2 linked regions of the Arabidopsis thaliana genome follow. Each later gene encodes a partner of the first gene's protein in a complex. Each region holds a gene or a part of one and is shown on either strand. Other genes may lie near its edges. The genes, in order: AT5G02950 and NFC5.

What was found.
Region 2: AT5G02950 (region 1) and NFC5 share a complex: the UniProt entries of both Arabidopsis thaliana proteins name them as parts of the PRC2 (polycomb repressive complex 2) complex.

What each region holds. Positions count from the first base shown.
Region 1 is NC_003076.8:688,536-693,725, reverse strand, and holds AT5G02950 (Tudor/PWWP/MBT superfamily protein), read right to left. Parts: upstream 3,042-5,190; 5' UTR 2,918-3,041; exon of another isoform or gene 2,795-2,917; 5' UTR 2,774-2,794; coding exon 875-2,773; 3' UTR 627-874; downstream 1-626. Other genes in the region: AT5G02960 (Ribosomal protein S12/S23 family protein), read left to right, coding at 91-217, 306-446; AT5G02940 (ion channel POLLUX-like protein, putative (DUF1012)), read left to right, coding at 4,052-4,137, 4,776-4,831, 4,954-5,039, 5,127-5,190. UniProt on the Arabidopsis thaliana protein: May influence gene expression by regulating the function of the PRC2 complex and modulating H3K27me3 level.
Region 2 is NC_003075.7:14,558,126-14,564,122, forward strand, and holds NFC5 (nucleosome/chromatin assembly factor group C5), read right to left. Parts: upstream 4,477-5,997; 5' UTR 4,398-4,476; coding exon 4,144-4,397; intron 3,652-4,143; coding exon 3,591-3,651; intron 3,482-3,590; coding exon 3,422-3,481; intron 3,324-3,421; coding exon 3,261-3,323; intron 3,144-3,260; coding exon 3,078-3,143; intron 2,961-3,077; coding exon 2,886-2,960; intron 2,765-2,885; coding exon 2,689-2,764; intron 2,617-2,688; coding exon 2,421-2,616; intron 2,296-2,420; coding exon 2,214-2,295; intron 2,124-2,213; coding exon 2,050-2,123; intron 1,962-2,049; coding exon 1,850-1,961; intron 1,743-1,849; coding exon 1,668-1,742; intron 1,586-1,667; coding exon 1,518-1,585; coding exon of another isoform or gene 1,427-1,517; coding exon 1,327-1,426; intron 1,232-1,326; coding exon 1,130-1,231; 3' UTR 802-1,129; downstream 1-801. Other genes in the region: AT4G29735 (uncharacterized protein), read right to left, coding at 4,837-4,884, 4,978-5,056, 5,248-5,313, 5,935-5,997. UniProt on the Arabidopsis thaliana protein: Core histone-binding subunit that may target chromatin assembly factors, chromatin remodeling factors and histone deacetylases to their histone substrates in a manner that is regulated by nucleosomal DNA.

The sequences.
Region 1 (5,190 bases):
GATATAACATTCAAGTTTACTTTTTCTTATAATTGATTTGTTGAGTAGAGACATTGGTCGTTGATGAGACTCTTGTGTTTGATGATGCAGTGGTATTGAGGCTAAGCAGCCTAACTCTGCTATCCGTAAGTGTGCTAGAGTTCAGCTTATCAAGAATGGAAAGAAGATTGCTGCCTTTGTCCCCAATGATGGTTGTTTGAACTACATCGAGGAAAACGTAAGTCACATGAAATGACTATTCAATCATCACACTATGGATTAGTTTCATTCATATGCTGATACATTTCTTGTTTATGGTGTTGCAGGATGAGGTCTTGATTGCTGGATTTGGTCGTAAGGGTCACGCTGTGGGAGATATTCCCGGAGTTAGGTTCAAGGTCGTGAAGGTTTCTGGTGTTTCACTCTTGGCCCTCTTCAAGGAAAAGAAGGAGAAGCCAAGATCTTAAGCAACCCGTACAAAAAGCTTCAAGCTTTTGATATGGTTTTTGATAGTTCAGTTTAAGTCTTGTTCTGTTCTACTTTATGTTTCAAGAACTTGATTTTGTGTTACATTTTATGAGTTTTTGAATTAAGACATGATCGTTTAATGTTATTGGTGTTTAATCAATTTACTCTTTTAACTTATAAGCCTCATCTTCAGTTGCGACTAACTTTACTGTTATCATTGGTATTTCCAGTTTTGGTTTTGTATGTCATAAAGTTAAGAATTAGTCTCATCACACGAATGTTACTTTTATTTATCGAAAACCTACTCTCATCATAAATCCTAGGTTACGTTTATTTATCGAAAATCTACTCTCATCATAAGACCTAGCTGATGATATCTGATCAGACCCTAATCTCTGAAAGTTAAGAGATGCCGTGACTCAATCAGTCATGTTGTTTTTTTCCGTTTGGGGCAAACATACTCGAGTCTGTAACTTAGAAGAGAAGGTCCAAAGATGCTGTATTTCCCTGCGCTGCTAAAGGCAGTCTTTGCGTCTTCCCCTCTTTTGAACACAACTTTGGCTCTCTTACCCTTCATCGTGACCTTAGTCTTAGACTCATGGAGAGGACCGTAACGTTTAAATATCTCGTTCAGCTTTTCTTCAGATGGAACCGAACCTGAATCCGCAAAGTTGAGGACTAAAGCATAGGGTGGTAATGAATCTGCAGAACAGTCCTTGAGACCAATTTGCTCTTTCGAGCCTGAGCCAGTGATTTCTTTATTTGCAGGTAATATCTCTTCTTCTGCAGAGTCTTTCTTATCACAAGGTTCTGATGTCTCAGTGATACTTGCCTTCTTTGAGTCACCATTGAGTTTACTGCAAAACAGTTCATTAATGAACTTTTCAAAATCTTCATAATTCGAGGGGTCTATGTTGATTGAATCAGGTATTCCCGTTGAGGTATTGGCAGCGTGAAGGCTTGAGAGCATCTCATCAGGAGAAGAAATCTTTCTTTCAGCAAGCTCTTGATGTCTCGGCTTCTTAGTCTTCTCATTCTCAACTTCCGTAGATTTAGAAGCACGGCAAGGCTTAAGTGTAGGAGTTAAAGAATTCATCTCATTTTCCACTCCAGTTCCATGACACGGTTCAGCCGTCTTCTGCAGTTTATTAGTATCACCCACTGACAAAAGACTTTCCTCATTAGAGTGTTTAGACACTGAATCCTCCTTTTGCTGACTTTTCTTGATCCTTTTCTCAGACTTACCAGATTCCGAAGACTCAACCTTACGCTTCTTTTCAGAATGCGACTTACCATCCAATTTCTCAGTTGATCTGCTCCCACAGCGTTTCTTTACAGTCAAATCTGACAAAGTCTTCTCCTTTGTCTGTTCAGCATTATCTTTATAATCTGTCTTTCTCTTTTTGGCAGATATTCCTTCATCCATATTTACTTCTGGGAGAGAAGCCAGGGTCGCAGCAGATTCCACCGACCTTACAAATGTTTCATAGTCAATGAAGTGAGAATAGTCTTTCCATTGTTGAAAAGCCAATACCTGAGCTCGGTTAATCACAAATTGCAGCTTCTCAGTCGCATCATAGCAAGGAAAGCAAGCTAAATGCTTCATATAATCCACAAGTTTAGCAGGTTCAAAAGAGATTCCATCCGATAACTTGTCTCCACCGTATCTAACACTTGAGTCCTCACGAATTCCAGCATTGATTATGTTCTGAGTCTTGAGTTTGTTATAGGCTTCCTCTGAAACACAAGAGCAAGATAAACCAAACTCTACTCTCCTTGAAACCTCATCCAAAGCACAATCAATAGCATCACGAAACTCAGCGGAGTTACTCTGCTCCTGCATTTGAGAGAAATTCTGATGAAAAGGCTTTATCTGAGATGCATTATTCCAAGCAAATGTACAATCCCCAAAATACGCAACCAAGACATTTCCTTTCTTGAAGTGCCTCATCGCAGCTTTAGAGGCAACAGATTTATCAAAGACCAGTCCAGGCCACCATGGATAACTTCTTAGTTTAGCCCAAACCAAATCTGAGTCAAAAAGCTTCAGATTCTCTTTAGAAAATCCTTTCTTATCCTTGTTCTTAAGCAGATCTGAATCAGCATCAAAATCAACCCCGTTACAGAGACTATCCTTATCATCACGAGCAGAGACAAATACTTTTCGCTCAACTCCAGTGAGGTTCACTACCAAGTCCTGAGCTTGAAAGCTCATGGGATCAGCTAGGGTTTCAGATGTGTGAGCCATACCGTAGTCAAAACTCGACGCATTTATGGCAAAATCAGCGTTGGAGTCAGATTCGACTCCTTCTGGTTCCGTAGACATAACGAGCACCAACAAAAATCCCTAGACAACGAAGAAACAAAAAAAAGCAGAAATTGCTTCAGTATATGCTTCCATTAAAGCAAAAACAGTACATCATACGAGAGACGAAGAAAATAATCGGAGAGCAAAAAAGGTGGACAGAACCTCCGGTGGCGGTTACGGTTTCGCCGGCGACGAAAGCTTAGATTTTGGGTAATGAAGAAATAACAGAGTTTCTTTCGTTTTGAGGGGGTTTATGAGAGAGCTACGTGTACGTCACGAATTATTCCACGTGGCAGTACTTGATTTTGTCTCGACTCATCACAACCATACATTATTACATTGAGTGAGGTTCAAAATTTTCAAACTTTTGCTTTTCCCTCTTTATTTGAACTTGAATTTGACTTGTTTTTACTGATATTAAATAGAATAGAATTTTACTACAAGTAGATTAGAATTTTACTACAACTAGTTTATTTCTAAAGAATTAAATTTGTTAATTTTATGTTTAATGAGAACCAAATGTTTTCCTACAACATTAAGACACTTTTTTATAAGTTTTCTAAACTTGTTTAATAGTATGTTTTACTAAAAAGTGATATTTTGAAAAACCTCTTTTGGGGATATTTTTAAATACTCCTCATAGACTAACAAAATAATATATCAATTCATATATAAACACAATAACACCGTTTATTGTGTAAAGTGCTTAGCTCTCTCAATGGTCAAAAAATGCAAAATCCATTTTCTTGTTATGTCTTTGTCATTTTTATTGTTATGTCATGTGGCGTCTCAACATTGAGAGGATATTTTGGGAGCCAGTAACGTTCGAGATTCAAAATTGTGGATGAGATTTTAACGATTGAAACAAAAGTACTAAAAAATAGTCGTTTATTAGCACATGTACTCTTTTTTTTGTTTGGACAGCTATTAGCACATGTACTCTTATATGTATGTATGTATATAAAAACGTGAATAGTGAGTGGAATAAGAGAAAGTAGTTAAAATTCAAAGCGATAAGAGTACCATTTTGTTTTTATTATATTCTATTCTATGGACGCGATTCCTCTGCGTTGTTTACCTATTCAAATGAAGTTCTAAGCCAAAAAAAAAATTAGTCGATTTGTTTTTATGTTCATAACACCCCACGGGCTAACTAATATGGTCCAAAACAATATAACAACAACAAAATAATCACGCAAAAATCTAAAAAACCAGCCTTGTGTCCATACTCCACCCACATATATAAGGAGAGAAACAAAAAGAGCGTAAGATAAATCAAGGAGAAGATTAAGAAAGATGGTGGCTGTTCAGTTGTTTACCTGGAAGCCATTGATTCTACCTTCTCAAGCTTTGACAAGAGATCGATTAGCTTCTTTTCACAGGTTTTGTTTTTGTAATTTCTTTCTTATACTTGATATTTCTGAAAACAATTGCATGGTGGTGACTTTATCCATAAGTGATAAGATGATGATTGTGAAGTTTGTGATCCTCAGAAGATTTTGAGTGTTTTTGTTAGAAACAAGCTCTTTATTTCCAAACAACTGATACAGATACTTAAAGAACACGGTATTTATCATTTAAGCGATCAATACTAAGTAACTCCTCTCAACAAATTCTATATTCTAAAAGAAATGCCAATGCCTCTGTTTATTTCTGTGTCTTCTCTTCTTTTCTTTATAATCCGAACCCTCTAGTTCCGTCAGCGTCTTCTTCGTCCTTATCTTCAAAACTTGCTTGGGCATATATCACAGTTTATTTTTGTTGTTTCTTCTTCCGGTGAATTTTACTTCATGTTTTGCTTACAGTAAATGTAGCCAAGTTCAATGGTTTCGATTAGAAAATGTGACGGTTTTAGTTAGGAGCTCTGAATTTGGGTTTAGAGTTTAGTTTCAAATGGAATTTGGGTTTGTAAGATAAAGGTATATCGTAAATTGATTCAAAATCTGGAAATTGTCATTCAATCAAAGCTCATTGGGTTGTGATGTTTACAAGTTGTGTATCTCTGATTCTTTTTTTGCAGGAGCTTGAGTTTACACTCTCTGCCTTTAGGTGGGATTAAGTCTTCTAGTTTCAGAGGTCAGGTTCTGTATATTTTTCCAACTTTGATGCAATTCTTTACGGTCTCATTGTTGCTGTTCTTCCACAATTAGACTCATTCTTGATTAGCTAATTGTATTTTTTTTCTCTCTATATGACAGGGACCTTCAAAGTCAAATCTCAAAGGACAGGAGATACAGAGCCGCCTAATAAAAACTTCAAAGATTTAAATTCCAAATTCTATAAGGTGAATCTATAGAATGAGTTTCATCACTGAATGTGTTATCACTCCATATGCTTATAATAATATAATCTTGTTTAATTAAATATGCAGAGTCTTCCATATAAACTTGTGATAGGATGCATCCCACTGTATGCGGTGTTGAGAATAGCGCAAA
Region 2 (5,997 bases), on another chromosome or scaffold:
ATGATCCATCTGGATTACTTTGTAAGGAACACCAATGATCGGCTTGAATGGTGTAGCATCACTACAACAATTTCGATAGGGGGCAATAGAGAGGCAGACCAGAAAAGGGGTTTAATGGCTAGGATTTTTAAAAGGACTAAATCTTGAACAATGAAGATATAGTACTCCTTGAGCCACAAATTTGTCTCCCCACTTCCAAACAAATAGTTTGGCATATTCACATACACATACAATGATACAAAACTCAAAACGTGTGTTTATGTATATATGTGTGTGTTTGTATGCGTCGACAAAGAAGGTTTTGTTTGGTTATAGCTGCAATGAATCAATGATGAGAATCCAACAAAACCTAGAGAAGCCCCTATGAGATGGTCTTATATCTATAAATGAGTAGTGTACTTAATGTCAGATAAATCAAAACCCCATGAAAGGCTTAGTACCTAGATGTTTTTAACTAGAGAGAGAGAGAGAGAGAGAGAGAGAGAGAGAGAGAGAGAGAGAGAGAGAGAGAGAATCTACTAGAAGATATTATGCAATAAATTTCCTCAAATGTTGCTACCTAACTCCCTCACCCCACAATCCCAAGAGTATTAAGTTCAATTGTCTGCAAGTTTGTATAGATGTCAGGTCTTAAGATTGCACAAATCCTTTGTAGATCTAATGAGTTGATCCGGTTCAACCCGGTTTACGCAGAACCAATCTTGCTTGAAATGAAACCGAATAGAGGTGAAGAGCGACGATTTTCTATCTGCTTTTGTTGTTGGAAGTAGAACTGAACGGTTCAGGGACACATGAGTCAAATGTCAAGCACTTGAGATTTGGATTTCACTGATTCAATCTGTTGTTTTAGTTTGGTCTTGCTTAACCAAGTTTGGATTCACAAAAAAAAAAGTTGAAAATACAAGCAAGTTAGGTGCCTAGGATTAACCTGAAGAAACAGGATCAAGTACCATACAAGATTCCGGAAGTCCTAAATCTACCAATATGTTGAATTACTGGCCTACATAAACCAAGTAATATTCCGCAAAAATAACACCTAAATCGCATAAGTAAACTGATTTTCCTCGCAAAAACTGACACTAAACCCCAGCAACTTACTAATACTAATAGACATGATGGGATTGCTTCCTCAAGACTTGGAGGTACATGTGAAAACATGTGACTTGAATTTCTCTAGCTCTGTCAGGACTTCATCTTCCGGTCTGTAAATCAAGTCACTCATCCGCCATATCTGCATTAATTTACAAATCAAAAGTTTTCATTTTTACCGAGAAAGTTAATCATAGGTAGGTTCCAGAGTAAATGTAGCAAGACATTTAAAAGTACCTGCAATGTACCACCTCCACCGATACTCTCACAATTATCAGAAACACTGACAATAGTCCAAGGGTTCAATAGGCTCCAGTGGAAGTCGACCACTTTGTCCCTAAGAAGATATACACGAGGAAATTATAGATTCCACTGAAGAGAGTAAAAGGGAAAGGCAAGCAAGTGAATTAGAATTAAGTCTTGAGAACCTGTGACCAGCATGCTGGAAGAAAAGCCCATCAGGAGTTTTGGTTGCACGCTCAGACTTCTTGCCAACCTGGTGCACACATATATGTTAATATGGTGAGCTTGAAAGTAAGAGAATAGTTTTAAATGTGAATGTGAGAAATTGTACTAACCCTATCACAATCCCATATGTTCAAGAGACCATCTTCTGCAGAACTCCCAAAAACAGATGATTTATCAGGAGACCACTGAATTGATAACGAAGCAATGTCATTGGGGATAGGTTTACAGGACAAATAATATGAAAAGAAAAAAACAAAAAAAAAAAACAGAGGTGGTGGCATGTTGTTGAAACCTGAACACAAAGAACAGCAGCTCTGTGGCCTTCAAATTTGTAAACAGGTGAACCAACTCCATTTGAGGTAAGGTTTCGGCGGTCAAACACACGGACAGTGTTATCTGCTGACCTGGAAAAGTGATGTAGAAGCGTAGAGTGAGAGGACGAGTAGCATCTCTGTACTTTTGGACAAGTATTTAAGTTTGTGAAATCAGTACCCAGTCAGGATCAGATTATTGTCATGAGGATTCCAATCGACACAGTGAAGATCAGCATCATGTGCCTTCTCAACCTGCCAGCGCACAAGAAGAAACAGACGGAATCTGAAACAAGACCAAAAAGTTAAACCTCAAATGTCGATCTGGCTAAAAAAAAGAGGTACCTTCATGGCAGGACTAGTGCCAGTTCTTGCGTCCCATAGCATAAGGCAAGAATCGTCACCAACACTGCAGAATTCTTGTGCACTGTAGGACAAAACAAAAAATTACCAATTTTTTTATACCAAAAGCATCAGAAAATTCTGAGTAGGTCTGCATTTGGGTGTAAACTTAAGAGCTTATTAAAAAAGGAGACTGTCCCAAGAAGTTACCTAGATGGACAGAATGCCACGTCTTCAACAGTATCTTTGTGGCCATTATATATGCCTCGAGGGCCAACAGAAGGACCACCAGTTTTATCACTACCTTCACCAGTCTGCTTGAAGCTGGATCCAGGGGATTTGGAATCCGAACCAGCCATTGTGATATGGTCTTGGATATTCCACAAAATAACGGACTTGTCCTTGCCTGCACGGAAGAATCTTTGATGAGAAACTTGCAAACCACAAGATATGACACAAAAATAGAACTGATACAAACCTCCAGAGAGAACAAAAGGTTCGGTTGGGCACATTGCAAGAGCAAATTCAGCATCATCCTGGTGCCCAATTAGTAACTGAAAATAAAAGTTGTTCAAATGATGCAAAAAGAGTAGCTCTTTCGATTGTTAATATGATGCACAAGCAGGTTGTTTAACTCAGTGAGACAACATAACGAAAATTCTCACAAGAGCATACCAAATCTGGACGAGAATCTGGAGCTCCAAGCACAGCATACCGGTCTGGTTGAGTCTCAGTGTTCCAAATGAGAATCTGAAAACCAATATATCATACTTGCATGACTGAAACTGGAACTATTCAAAAACAAGGATACTGAATAACGAAAGCCTTTTTTTTGTCACGCTGATGACCCGAGAAAGCAGAACTTACATCAGGACTGTCGGTGTGAGTAGCTACAATCTTGCTATTTTGAGGGAGTTCCCTAATTCTGTTGACCTGCGATGAATGAAGGGTACACAAAACAAAATCTTTTTCAGCACTCAAGTCCTAAACGAAATGCAGATTCAGTAAATCCATCTAAGAAAAAACAATGAGAATACAGGAATATCACACCTCTCCAGGGTGGATGATGGTCTTGTACTTCTTCACAAATGGAGAGTGTGCCTTTTCATTAAGCTGAAAGCATATAAAGAAACGGTATTTCAATAATTTCATCTCAGCAGAGAGTAACACAAGGACAAAAGCACAAGCTTTGGTAGAGAAAAACTAATTACCTGCCTATTAACAGTTTCGCAATTGGCTATGACCAAAGTATTAGGCACACTGCCATTCGTCTAATGACAGAACCAAGAAAAAACGGTAAACATAAGGAGCAGTAAACAAACTTTGGATATTTTTCATCAAGAAAAAATGTACAAACCACAAGAACAAGAGCAAACTCACTTGTTCCGAGAGATAGAGACGTTGAGTCTTAGAACCTGCTTGCTCAAGCTGTGGCCCCCATCTGCTCAAATCAAACAACAGGATTACAACGAAATCGTACCTCTTTACACAAAAGCTAAACACTTCACTAAATCGTAGCACAGCTAAACATCTGAAACCAAAAAGTAACAAAACAGAACACCTAAACCGAGTTGGTCAAGTGTTATCAACGACATCATTTTCCTACCAAAACAAGTTCCAGAGGTTCAAAAATGGAAACATCAGATAGCTAATGAGCTAAAAGCCTAAAAGAGAAAGAAACACAGAAAAGCATGGAGACTGAGCTAAATTAAAAACCCGAACTAGAACATGTCCTAATCTCACAAATTCCAGAAACCAGCTAAGAAAAACTCTCAATCTATGAGTATTTCACTAGCTGAAACGGAAATGTAACTCAATCGCCTGACCAAAAGCACAAAGCTAGAATTTTTATTTCCCAAAAAAGAACCAACTTTCTCCAAAACCAAAGATCGAAAACCCTAGAAACAGAAAACCTATAAAAAAAAACACAGACCTGCAAGAGAGAGAGGGCCAGACGAGGGTATGATTAACAAACGAATCATAGAGAATGGGAAGAAGAGTCTTCCACTGAGAGTAAGTGTCGTCAACGGTGGCCTTTTGACTCTGCTGTAGCAAAAATGGTAACTGAGACTCGTTGTTGCTCTTAGGTTTCCGTCTTCTCTTATCCGTCAAAATGGCTGTCACCGGAGTCCTAGGTGCTCTTCTCGGCCTGGTGGCTTGAACAGTCGCTGCTGCTTCGCTTTCCATTTCCTTCTTTTCTCTCGTTTTCTCTCTACTCTCCTTTGTTTTTTTTATAATATTATTATTTATGCCACGTGGAGTAAACTTCGTCCCGGCAAATACCCAATAGGCAAATACTTAAATTAGCGAATTAAAATGATTTCTTCACACTAAAGAGTATAATCAGTATCTTCCCATTACAAAATTTGAGTAAAGCTTTCTTCTAAATCTTGGTAGAAAGTTACTAACTGATCAACTTAACAACGCAAACGCTGTTCTAAAGGCGGTGAAAATTGAAACCAAAACTCGGTTTAGCGTTCAAAAGAAGAAGATAATTTAATTGTAACTTGGTGTTTAAAGGCTACTTCTCAAGTCTTAACATTCATAACTCTGATTTTACTTGAACAAAGATAAATCTGTTTTTTTTGTCTTTGAACTAGTTGGGAATAGTATTGAGGAAGAAGGATCAGACATAAACACCACTAGCAAGTAGCAAAAACAACGATCCAAAACCCTGCAAATAACACAGAAACAGATTTTAACCAAACATTAGATTTAAAGAAAACTCTTAAACTTAAGTCAAGAGGGTGAAGAAGAAAATCCATACCAAGAAGACAGATGCAACTGCTGAAGTAGCGAGCTCCTTTCCGACGCTTCGGTTTTTCCTGGATGATGTAGCTTCATAGCTGCAACACAAATGTTATGACAGGGTAAGTTTTGATCACTCCTTGTTGGGCTGAATGAATCTAAACCAGCACAATGAATACCAAAAGAGTCCAATATGACCTTATTACAAAGAAGCTAAAATGAATGGTTCAAGTCTATCTTAAAGTTTTGACTCGAGGCTAACCCACATGCTCTCGTAGCCCAGACGCACATTACTTTAACAAACCGAATCATATCTCCTAAAACTTGCCACCCTTTGAAAGGTAAATGCTCCACGCTTAAATGAAAATCATACAAATCTAACTTTCTTGTATCTTAACTAAATCGATAATCAGTCATTTTGTCATATTCAGTGAAACTATTAGAGTACTGATTCCATTTCCATAGACTATCACCTTATCATTGATAAATTTTGAGTCTTTATATCATGATAGTATATAGAGCTCACACATTTCCAAAAGGTTACTAGATGAGTCCCATGACTTTCTTACTTTTTACCCAGAAACTTTAGTAATAAGAAAGGCACATATTTCAACAGATTAATCTAGCAAAGAGATCATGAAAGTGATGAACATGTAGCTTCAGGAGCTTTAGAAGACCTATCTCTAGAGAATAGCAATTGAGAAAGCATTGTGACCAAACCATATATATAAGCAGTAACAATGTTGGTCAAGCTTCATACACAGTGAACAAACAAGAGGAGAGCCTCACACGATTCATAGTTCAGAACCTAGTCATGACTATCACACACTAATCAAGCTTTATGAAAATCAAGATAAATCATAGGTAGATCGAATCTATCAGGAACTGTTTCACTAATCTGACATCAAGTAATATAAATTGAGAACAAGAAGGGGCAATTTCGAAGATCTAGAGATCAGATCAATTATTAGCTTACATGAAGAAGATAGCGGTAATGACGAGACCAATCGCAAGAGTGAACACCGATAAAGTCGGATAC